Linked DNA regions of Mus musculus. The protein of the gene in region 2 purifies or fractionates together with the protein of the main gene of each other region. This does not show direct contact. Links are inferred from orthologs where the notes say so. Each region holds a gene or a part of one and is shown on either strand. Other genes may lie near its edges.

Region 1 (3,646 bases), on a different chromosome or scaffold from region 2:
ACTTTAATCCCAAAACTTGGGAGGCAGAGGCAGGTAGATCTCTGTATTTGGGGTCTAGTCTACATAGTGAGCTCTAAATAGCCAGTGCTACACAGTCAGACCCTGACAGAAACAGAGTAGAAGGAGAAAAAACCCAAGTGTCCAGTGATAAATAATTAATTAAACTACAACCAAGTGTAGTGGTATATGCCTGTACTTAACACCAGCTCCCCAGAGGCTAGGGAGGAAGACTGTGGGTTACTGCGTAGCTATGGCCTCCAAAGGTAAACACTCTACTCTGGAGGGAGGCTTCTAAGACTCTGGAAGCTACAACGTATAAGGCTCAAGAAGCTCATGAAATTTACAAGGGACAAGAATTCAGAAAGTTAGGCCTTTGATCACAGCACTAGGGAGACAGAGGCCAGCCTGGTCTACAGGGCAAGTTTGAGGCCAGCAGAGACCCTGTCTTTAAAACAAACAAATCAATCAACTACAAAAACTTTAGAAACAATATAAAACATAATAGCAATATTTAAGTAAGTATAATTATAAAAGCAGTAGAAATGTAATGTTGCCAGGCAGTGGTGGCACACGCCTTTAATCCTAGTACTTAGGAGGCAGAAGCAGGTGGATTTCTGAGTTCGAGGCCAGCCTGGTCTACAGAGTGAGTTCCAGGACACAGTCAGGGCTACACAGAGAAATCCTGTCAAACAAACACAAAACAAAACAAAGACAAAAAAACAAAACAAAACAACAACAAAAAAGTAATTTTTAAATGCCAAGACTTTCATCAGAATCCAAACATGTATATATTGTTTTTTTTTTTTTTGTTTTTTGTTTTTTGTTTTTTTGTTTTTTTTCGAGACAGGGTTTCTCTTTATAGCCCTGGCTGTCCTGGAACACTCACTCTGTAGACCAGGCTGGCCTCGAACTCAGAAATTCGCCTGCCTCTGCTTCCCGAGTGCTGGGATTAAAGGCGTGCGCCACCACGCCCGGCCAAACATGTATATATTGTAAGATAGCCTTTATCGGAGCTAATGCTGTTGCCCAGCTTGGCTTTGAACTCCTGAGCTCAGGCAGGCAATCCCTGAAGCCTTAGGTAGGATTTCAGGCATTTGCCAGTACACCTGGCTAGTAGATTCTTAAAATAATTAGAAATAAACTGTACTTGACAGATATTTGACTATAATAATTTTAATGGCTTAACAACATTTTTTTAAAAGATTTATTTATTTATTTGTTTTTTTGAGATAGGGTTTCTCTGTGTAGTCTTGGCTGTCCTAGAAAATGCTTTGTAGACAAGGCTGGCCTTACACTTAGAGACTTACTTCCCTTTACCTCCTGAGTGCTAGGATTAAAGGTATGTGTTACCACACCTGACTTTCTCTCTTTTACTTATTTATTTTTATGTGTATATGTGTTTTGCCTGCATGACTGTAAGTGTATCATGTATGTGCAGTGCCCAAGGAAGCCAGGAGAAAGACCCCTTTGGATTGGAGTTACAGACAGTTGTGAGCTGCCTTGTATGTGCTGAGAATTGAACCTGGGTCCTCTGGAAGTGCAGCCAGTTCCTTTAATTGCTGAGCTATCTCTTTAGTCTCCATGGCTTAGCATTTTTAAAAGCTGGATTCTAAGGTGGTCAAACATTTCAGTGCTTAACATTTCCAAGAAATCCTTGCCCCACTGCAAGCAACAAAACCCTCCTTTTCACGCAAGGCACAGGCATCAGAAATCTACAAGTCACGTCTAATAACTGCTACAATATCTACGCCTAGCAGAAAGCTAGCACAGAAATACAAAGCTAAACCAGGCGTGCACACCTCTAAGCTCAGCAGTAGTGAGTTCCAGGACAGCCAGGGGCTACACAGAAAGTTCAAAACAAAACAACTCCTCCCCCCCCCAGAAAGAACCCTGAAGCGTACCTCATTGGAGGACAGCGGCTGAGTATAGGGGGCGCTAGAGGGAGTGGTGATCTCACTCATCCGGAGCATCGTCCGCACGATCTCGCTGCTTGTCTGAAAAACAGACAATTCAGAATATACCTTCACTGCCTCTGGCCCTGGCCCTGAGCCAGTGGCTACATCTGACATCCATCTCAATGACAGACCTTGTTCCTTGCTGATCACTGGCTGACCCACTTGGATATTACCTGGTCCATTCGGTTTGCCACTGCGCTCACGATTGCTTGGTCACGGAAGTGCTGGTGGAACCTGTCGAGGTTGACTTGCCAATAAATCCCATCGTCTGGTGAGGGCTGGGGAGAGGAGGATAGAGAGGCGGTGAGATGCAGCACCCGCCATCCCCAGGGTGCTCTGCTTGTTTTGTTTATACAGTAAAGCTCCACTTGTTTTGTCACACTGTAGCAATTAAATGGGCTAGAGAAAAGCATTCAAGAGTGTGGATTAGTGTGTCCCAAGGAAGTCTAACTTCAGGTTCCACAAAGTCACCTTCTTCCTTGGTTAATTCTTCTCCATTACTCTCCAATCTCTCATTTGACACCTTCTTTCCTCTAATAGAGGCCAGAACTCATTTAACTTTGTGTAAATATCTTTACTATCCCCCACTTTCCTTCTTCCCTCTCTCCAGGAGAACGTTTGTCCTTTTACCTAAGGGCAAGGGCCATGCTGCTGTTTCAGATCATGTCGTTCCCCTGGGCCTCAGGATCCAGGCCCTTTGCTTCCTGTCCTGAGGCTGCAAGGCTCCTGTACTGCTCTGTTCATCAGCTTTTACCCTGCGCAGGTCATGACTTCTCCTTCCACCCCATGCTTCCCTGCTTCCTTTCCCTCCTGGCTATCTATGCCAGCTCTGGCTTTGCTCAGCCACCTCTCTTATGAAATTTCAGTTGTTACTGGTATTCCAGACCCACCACTGTCCTCAAGAGCCTCCTTGTGGCTAAGCTTGGAGGATACTTCCCAGGCCTGATCTTATTTGACTGTTTCAGTGACATAATAGGACATTTTCTCAATTTACCTCCTTAAGTACAGGGACTAAAGCTTTGCGACACACCAGGACTAGCTAAATATCTACTTTTCTTTGTTGTTGTTGTTGTGAGAAAGTCTCTCTACATAGCCCTGGCTGTCCTGGAATGTACTATGTAGACCTCAAATTCACAGAGATCACCTGCCTCTGCCTCCTGAGTGCTGGGGTTAAAGGTGCGCACCACCACATCCAACCAGAAAGATTTAGTTTTGAGTTTATGTATCTGTGTGATTGTGTACTTGCATCTGCACCAGTGTCATGCTTGGAGCCTGTGGATCCACAAGAGGATATAAGATCCCCTAGAATTGAAGATAGGGTGTTTAGAACTGAACTTGGGTCCTCCTAACTGCTGAATCATCTCTCTAGCCCTACAAGATTTTTTTCTTTAATTCATATTATGTATATGTGCCTGCCACATGTGCGCAGAGGCCCCGAGATGGCCAGAAGGTGGTAGCTCTCTCAGAGCTGGAATTACAGACACAGGTGTTAGGAACCACACTTTGGTCGTCTGGGGGAAGAGGAGGTACTCTTAACTGCTAAGCCATCTCTCAACGTCCTAGACATCTATTTTTATTTATTTTTTGAGATAGGATCTCTCCCTGGGCTTGAACTTAACAAGTAGGCCAAGATGGCTGGTGAGCCCCAGGACCTTCCTGTGAATTTGTGTTGGGCCTGCAGATTAAACACG
Region 2 (4,318 bases):
CTCTCACGAAGCTTGCTAGAACAGTCAAGGAAGCAGCTGGCGGGCAGCGCTGGGGTGAGGGGGGTGTGGGGACAGAGTAAAGGATACTATCGAGCCAGCAGTTCAGTCACCTCCTCCTTTGTCATGACCACGTGCTCAGGGACTAGCTGTGGAGACAGAGACCCACCCACAGGCACGCGGCCATCAGGAACTTCAACAGACCAACAGACTAATGGGTATTGTCATGGGGCTGGGACAGAGGACAAAACCAGGCTATTAATATCACCAAGTTGGATGCTCAGGGCCAAAACCGGGGAAGCACCCCGCCCCGGCCCGTGTCCTGGATGCAGGCAGCACTACGCCCCACCCCACCACACACACCTCGTGCTCTGTGATATTGATGAGCAGCTCCTGCTGTAGAAACTGTTCCAGCACATACTTCGGGGCCATGTCCACCAGGGACTGCTTGGCGGAGGGCGTCATGCCCTGCTGCACCACAATCAGCGCCCGTGTGATGTTTTCCTCCTGCATGCGCTGGCAGTATACCTTGATGGTCTTGATGCCCACCTTGGGCTCCTCTGCGGGCACACAAGCACCACCCTCACACTCACTACTGGAGCCTGTGGTCTTAGTTTCTCTGCTTGCAAGGGAAGACTAGAACATCAAGGCAGCCATGATGGGGCTGCCAGGGGGCTCAGCTATCACTGCAGAAGCTGCAGGGTATGCAGGAACTGCGGCCCCCCTGGAACGGGGGTGGGGGCTCTCAGCAGCTCTGGGGTTTGGGGGATATGGTACTGTCAGCTTAGACAGCCTCAAGGAGAAACTGACTGACCAAGAGATGGACCCTGTGTCTACATGAGGCTAGCCTTGTCTCCTCAGGCAGAGCGCAGGAGCAGACCCAGGCCACCTAGTTTGCAAATTGCTGGATAAACACAGGTATATTTACATTATGACTCATAATAGTAGCAAAATTAGTTATGAATTAGCAATGAAGATTTTATGGTTGGAGGTCACAATGTGAAGTGTACTAAGGGGTCCCAGCATCAGGAAGGCTGAGAACCAATGCCCTCCATAGTTGTCCCGGAAGTCATTGTATAGACCAGGCTGGCCTCGACTGCCTGCCTCTGCCTCTCAAACACTGGGCTTACAGGCATATGCTACCATGCCCATCCCCGCACCCCCCAATTCTCACACTAAAAACCAGGTCCCGGGGCCACAAAGCATTAGGTATTAAAAGAGGCAAGCTGTCTGGGGAGACTGAATGTAGCTGCACAGGGAGGTCCTGGGCTCCCCAATAGCCTTCACTCCCACAAGACACCTGCGCTGCTGGCAGAAGCTGTAGAATACAGCACACAGGGGGTGTGGGGGTGGCATAGCTGGCCCTGGGACTCCCAGGCAGAAGCTATAGAATACAGCATATAGGAGCCAGGGGGTGGAGGGCTGAGAGCTGGTTCTGGGGCTTATGGGATGAAAACGACACCAGCAAAAGGGAGGCTTCCCAGGGGAGACAGGGACAAAAGCAGGCAGCTGCCACAATCTTACAGGCAGCGTTAGGCCAGAGTGGGACATGCATTCACTGGCACCTGAGCCAGGGCCTGGAGGAGACCACTCCTGCCAGCCCAAGGGCCTCACCTGGGAAGAACACAAACATCTGGTCTGTGGGGTCATCGTTGTGGGCCACCAGCACCGTGAGGTCTGTGCGCCTTGGCCGTCCTTCGCTGGGCTTGTCCCCAAACTGCGCCTTGAATTCCTCAAGTGTCTGGTCCAGTTCATCCTGGGTCACCAGGTAGCCACGGTCATGACACAGCTGCAGAGACAAGAGGCAAAGAGGCAGTCAGCCTGAGCACTTAGCTCGCAGACCTGACCCTGAATGGCCGAGGCTGGGGACTAACACTGAACTGATCCAGCAGTACCCAAACTCTGTATAGGCTCAGACCACAGCGGCCCGGCCAAGCCTCTCCTCCCCCCAACCTCAGTGGAGCAGGCTGGGATTAATCCCCTGGCAACTGTAGGCAACCTTCTGAATACAGGCACCTTCCTGTCCCCAGTCTTGAGTGTTCCTGATGAGGGAGACTAGAGCATCATCCAGGATCAGGGCTGAGGAACAGGCATGAGGTGGCCCTGGGCTCCACCAACACAGCATAAGTCAAAACTATGCATACCTCTTTATCTAATAATGGTGTCTCATGTGTTCAACTCAAAACAACCAAGAATTTTTTCTTTTATTCCCTTTTTCTTTTTCAAGACAGGGTTTCTCTGCGTGACTTTGTCTATTCTGGAAATCACTATGTAGATGAGGCTGACTTCTAATTTAAAGAGATTCGCTTGCTTCTGCCTCCAGAGTGCTGGGATTAAAGGCGTGTACCATCATACCGGCTTGTTCTGTTTTTAAAAATACTGTTTTTTCATCCTATGTGTGTCTGGAGTCCCCAGAGATCAGGACAGGGCGTCAGATCCCCTGGAACTGGGGTTACAGATGGTTGATAGCTTTCGTGTGGGCGGCTACCTAGCTCGCATAAAACCAAGTGTGACCACGCAGCAGCCCCCTCTCCCGAAACGGAGCCCACCCAGGCCTTTTCCCCTGAGGCAGAGTTAGGAGGTGGAAGCAGTAGGATTTCTAAGAGTTGAAGCCAGCGTGGGTGGGCTCCACACTTTAAACGGGGATGCATTCCAATCCAGGAGGATTGGCCCCTGCGGGAGGCGGGCCTCGGCGGACAACCCGCAGTTAGTCCGCAACTGAACGCTCGCTCGCATAAAGCTCCTCACGCTTGATCACCTGCATGATCGTCTTGCGGATCTTCCACAGCCGGTAGGTCTCCTCCTCGTCGTCCATGCTGTCGCGCTTCCCAAACAACTGTGCACGCGCGCTCGTGGAGCTGCCAGCACGGAGCCTGCGCCGGACGCACAAAATGCCCCCCGCCCCCCGGCAGTGCGCCTGCGCCAAGGGCTGGGAAGGCCCCCGCCCAGGTTCGTGCTGTCTAAGGTGAACGCCGGAATAAACCTACTTTCCACGACAGGCTGCGCGTTGGGCAGCCCCAGCCTTCACCGGGGCGGTGTCGCGCGTCGGGAAGATCTCGCGATACTTGACCTGATAACAGTTTTATTTCCCTCCCTTAGGCGTCTCCCGGGCTGTAGTCCACGCCTTTAATCCCCGTCCTCGGCAAGCAGATCTGTGAGTTCGAGGCCAGCCTGCTCTATAGCCAGGTCTACAGAGAAAACCCTGTCTCGAAAGAAAGCAAGAGACCAGTGATGAACAGCCAGGTTCATGTGCCTCAATTTCCCTTTTTATACAAGTTTTTATTAGTGTATCTGCACTTTACATGAGAAATCGGATGCAAGCACCCACATGAGGTGGCCCCCAGCCATTTGTAACTCCAGCTCCAGAGAGTCTGATGCCTCTGGCCTCCAAGGGCCACACTTACAGGTCTATACCCACATGCAGACACACAGATAAACATAGTTAAACGACTAAAAATCTAAAATGAAAACAATCGATGTGCGGGCATACACACAATGAACAAACAAGTGTGTATATGGTGGGCTAACTCGTGAAAAGTTTGAGAAGGTGGTGAGAAAATGAATCCTAGGGAAAGGGATTCCAGGGCTAAACCCTTCCAACTATACAATGGGAGTTCACAGGAACGCCCCTTTCTCCTTTTCTTTCTTTCTTATTTGTTTATTTATTTATTTATTTATTTATTACATGAAAGTACACTGTAGCTGTCTTCAGACACTCCAGAAGAGGGAGTCAGATCTCATTATGGGTGGTTATGAGCCACCATGTGGTTGCTGGGATTTGAACTTCGGACCTTCAGAAAAGCAGTCGGGTGCTCTTACCCACTGAGCCATCTCACCAGCCCTCTCCTTTTCTTTGGGGGAGTGTGCTGACTTGAAATTTGGTATAGAGACCAGGTCTCAACAGCGCAGAGAATGGCCTGCCTCTGCCTCTCAGTGTTGGGATTAAAGGCGTGTGCCACCAAGACTGGCAAGGTCTGTCCTTGGAAGTCCAGATGCCTCCATTCTGTCCTGATGTGCGTCTGACAGCTCATCTACAGATCATCACCAGTTCCTGCCTGAGAACTTAGGCTGATCCCAACTGGGAAAGACAAGTTTTTGCCAAGTACACTGAGCCCACCATCTACCCTGTAGACCAAGGGGCTTAGGCTGCTACAGTTGGCCAAAGAAGCCATGAGTGTGCAAAGGAAGGGGACATGGGCAAAGACGTTTCTTGGAGAAGAGAGCATTGCCTGGGCCTGGGAGTGGTGGCCGATGCATTTGATTCTGGAGGCCAAGTGGGTAGATTTCTGTGAGCGCTGTGCTGAACACCCCCCACCCCCAG

Evidence for each region. The genes of interacting proteins can lie anywhere in the genome.
Region 1: the proteins of Polr2e (region 2) and Polr3c purify together in Homo sapiens (affinity purification with mass spectrometry; 4 studies listed by BioGRID and IntAct, counting the BioPlex papers as one, with this or other methods). This does not show direct contact. The link is inferred for Mus musculus from reciprocal best matches to the Homo sapiens genes POLR2E and POLR3C.

What each region holds. Positions count from the first base shown.
Region 1 is NC_000069.6:96,717,333-96,720,978, forward strand, and holds part of Polr3c (DNA-directed RNA polymerase III subunit RPC3), read right to left. Parts: intron 2,234-3,646; coding exon 2,129-2,233; intron 1,995-2,128; coding exon 1,902-1,994; intron 1-1,901. UniProt on the Homo sapiens protein: DNA-dependent RNA polymerase catalyzes the transcription of DNA into RNA using the four ribonucleoside triphosphates as substrates.
Region 2 is NC_000076.6:80,036,828-80,041,145, forward strand, and holds the start of Polr2e (DNA-directed RNA polymerases I, II, and III subunit RPABC1), read right to left. Parts: upstream 2,833-4,318; 5' UTR 2,813-2,832; coding exon 2,756-2,812; intron 1,787-2,755; coding exon 1,612-1,786; intron 558-1,611; coding exon 361-557; intron 147-360; coding exon 88-146; intron 16-87; coding exon 1-15. UniProt on the Homo sapiens protein: DNA-dependent RNA polymerase catalyzes the transcription of DNA into RNA using the four ribonucleoside triphosphates as substrates.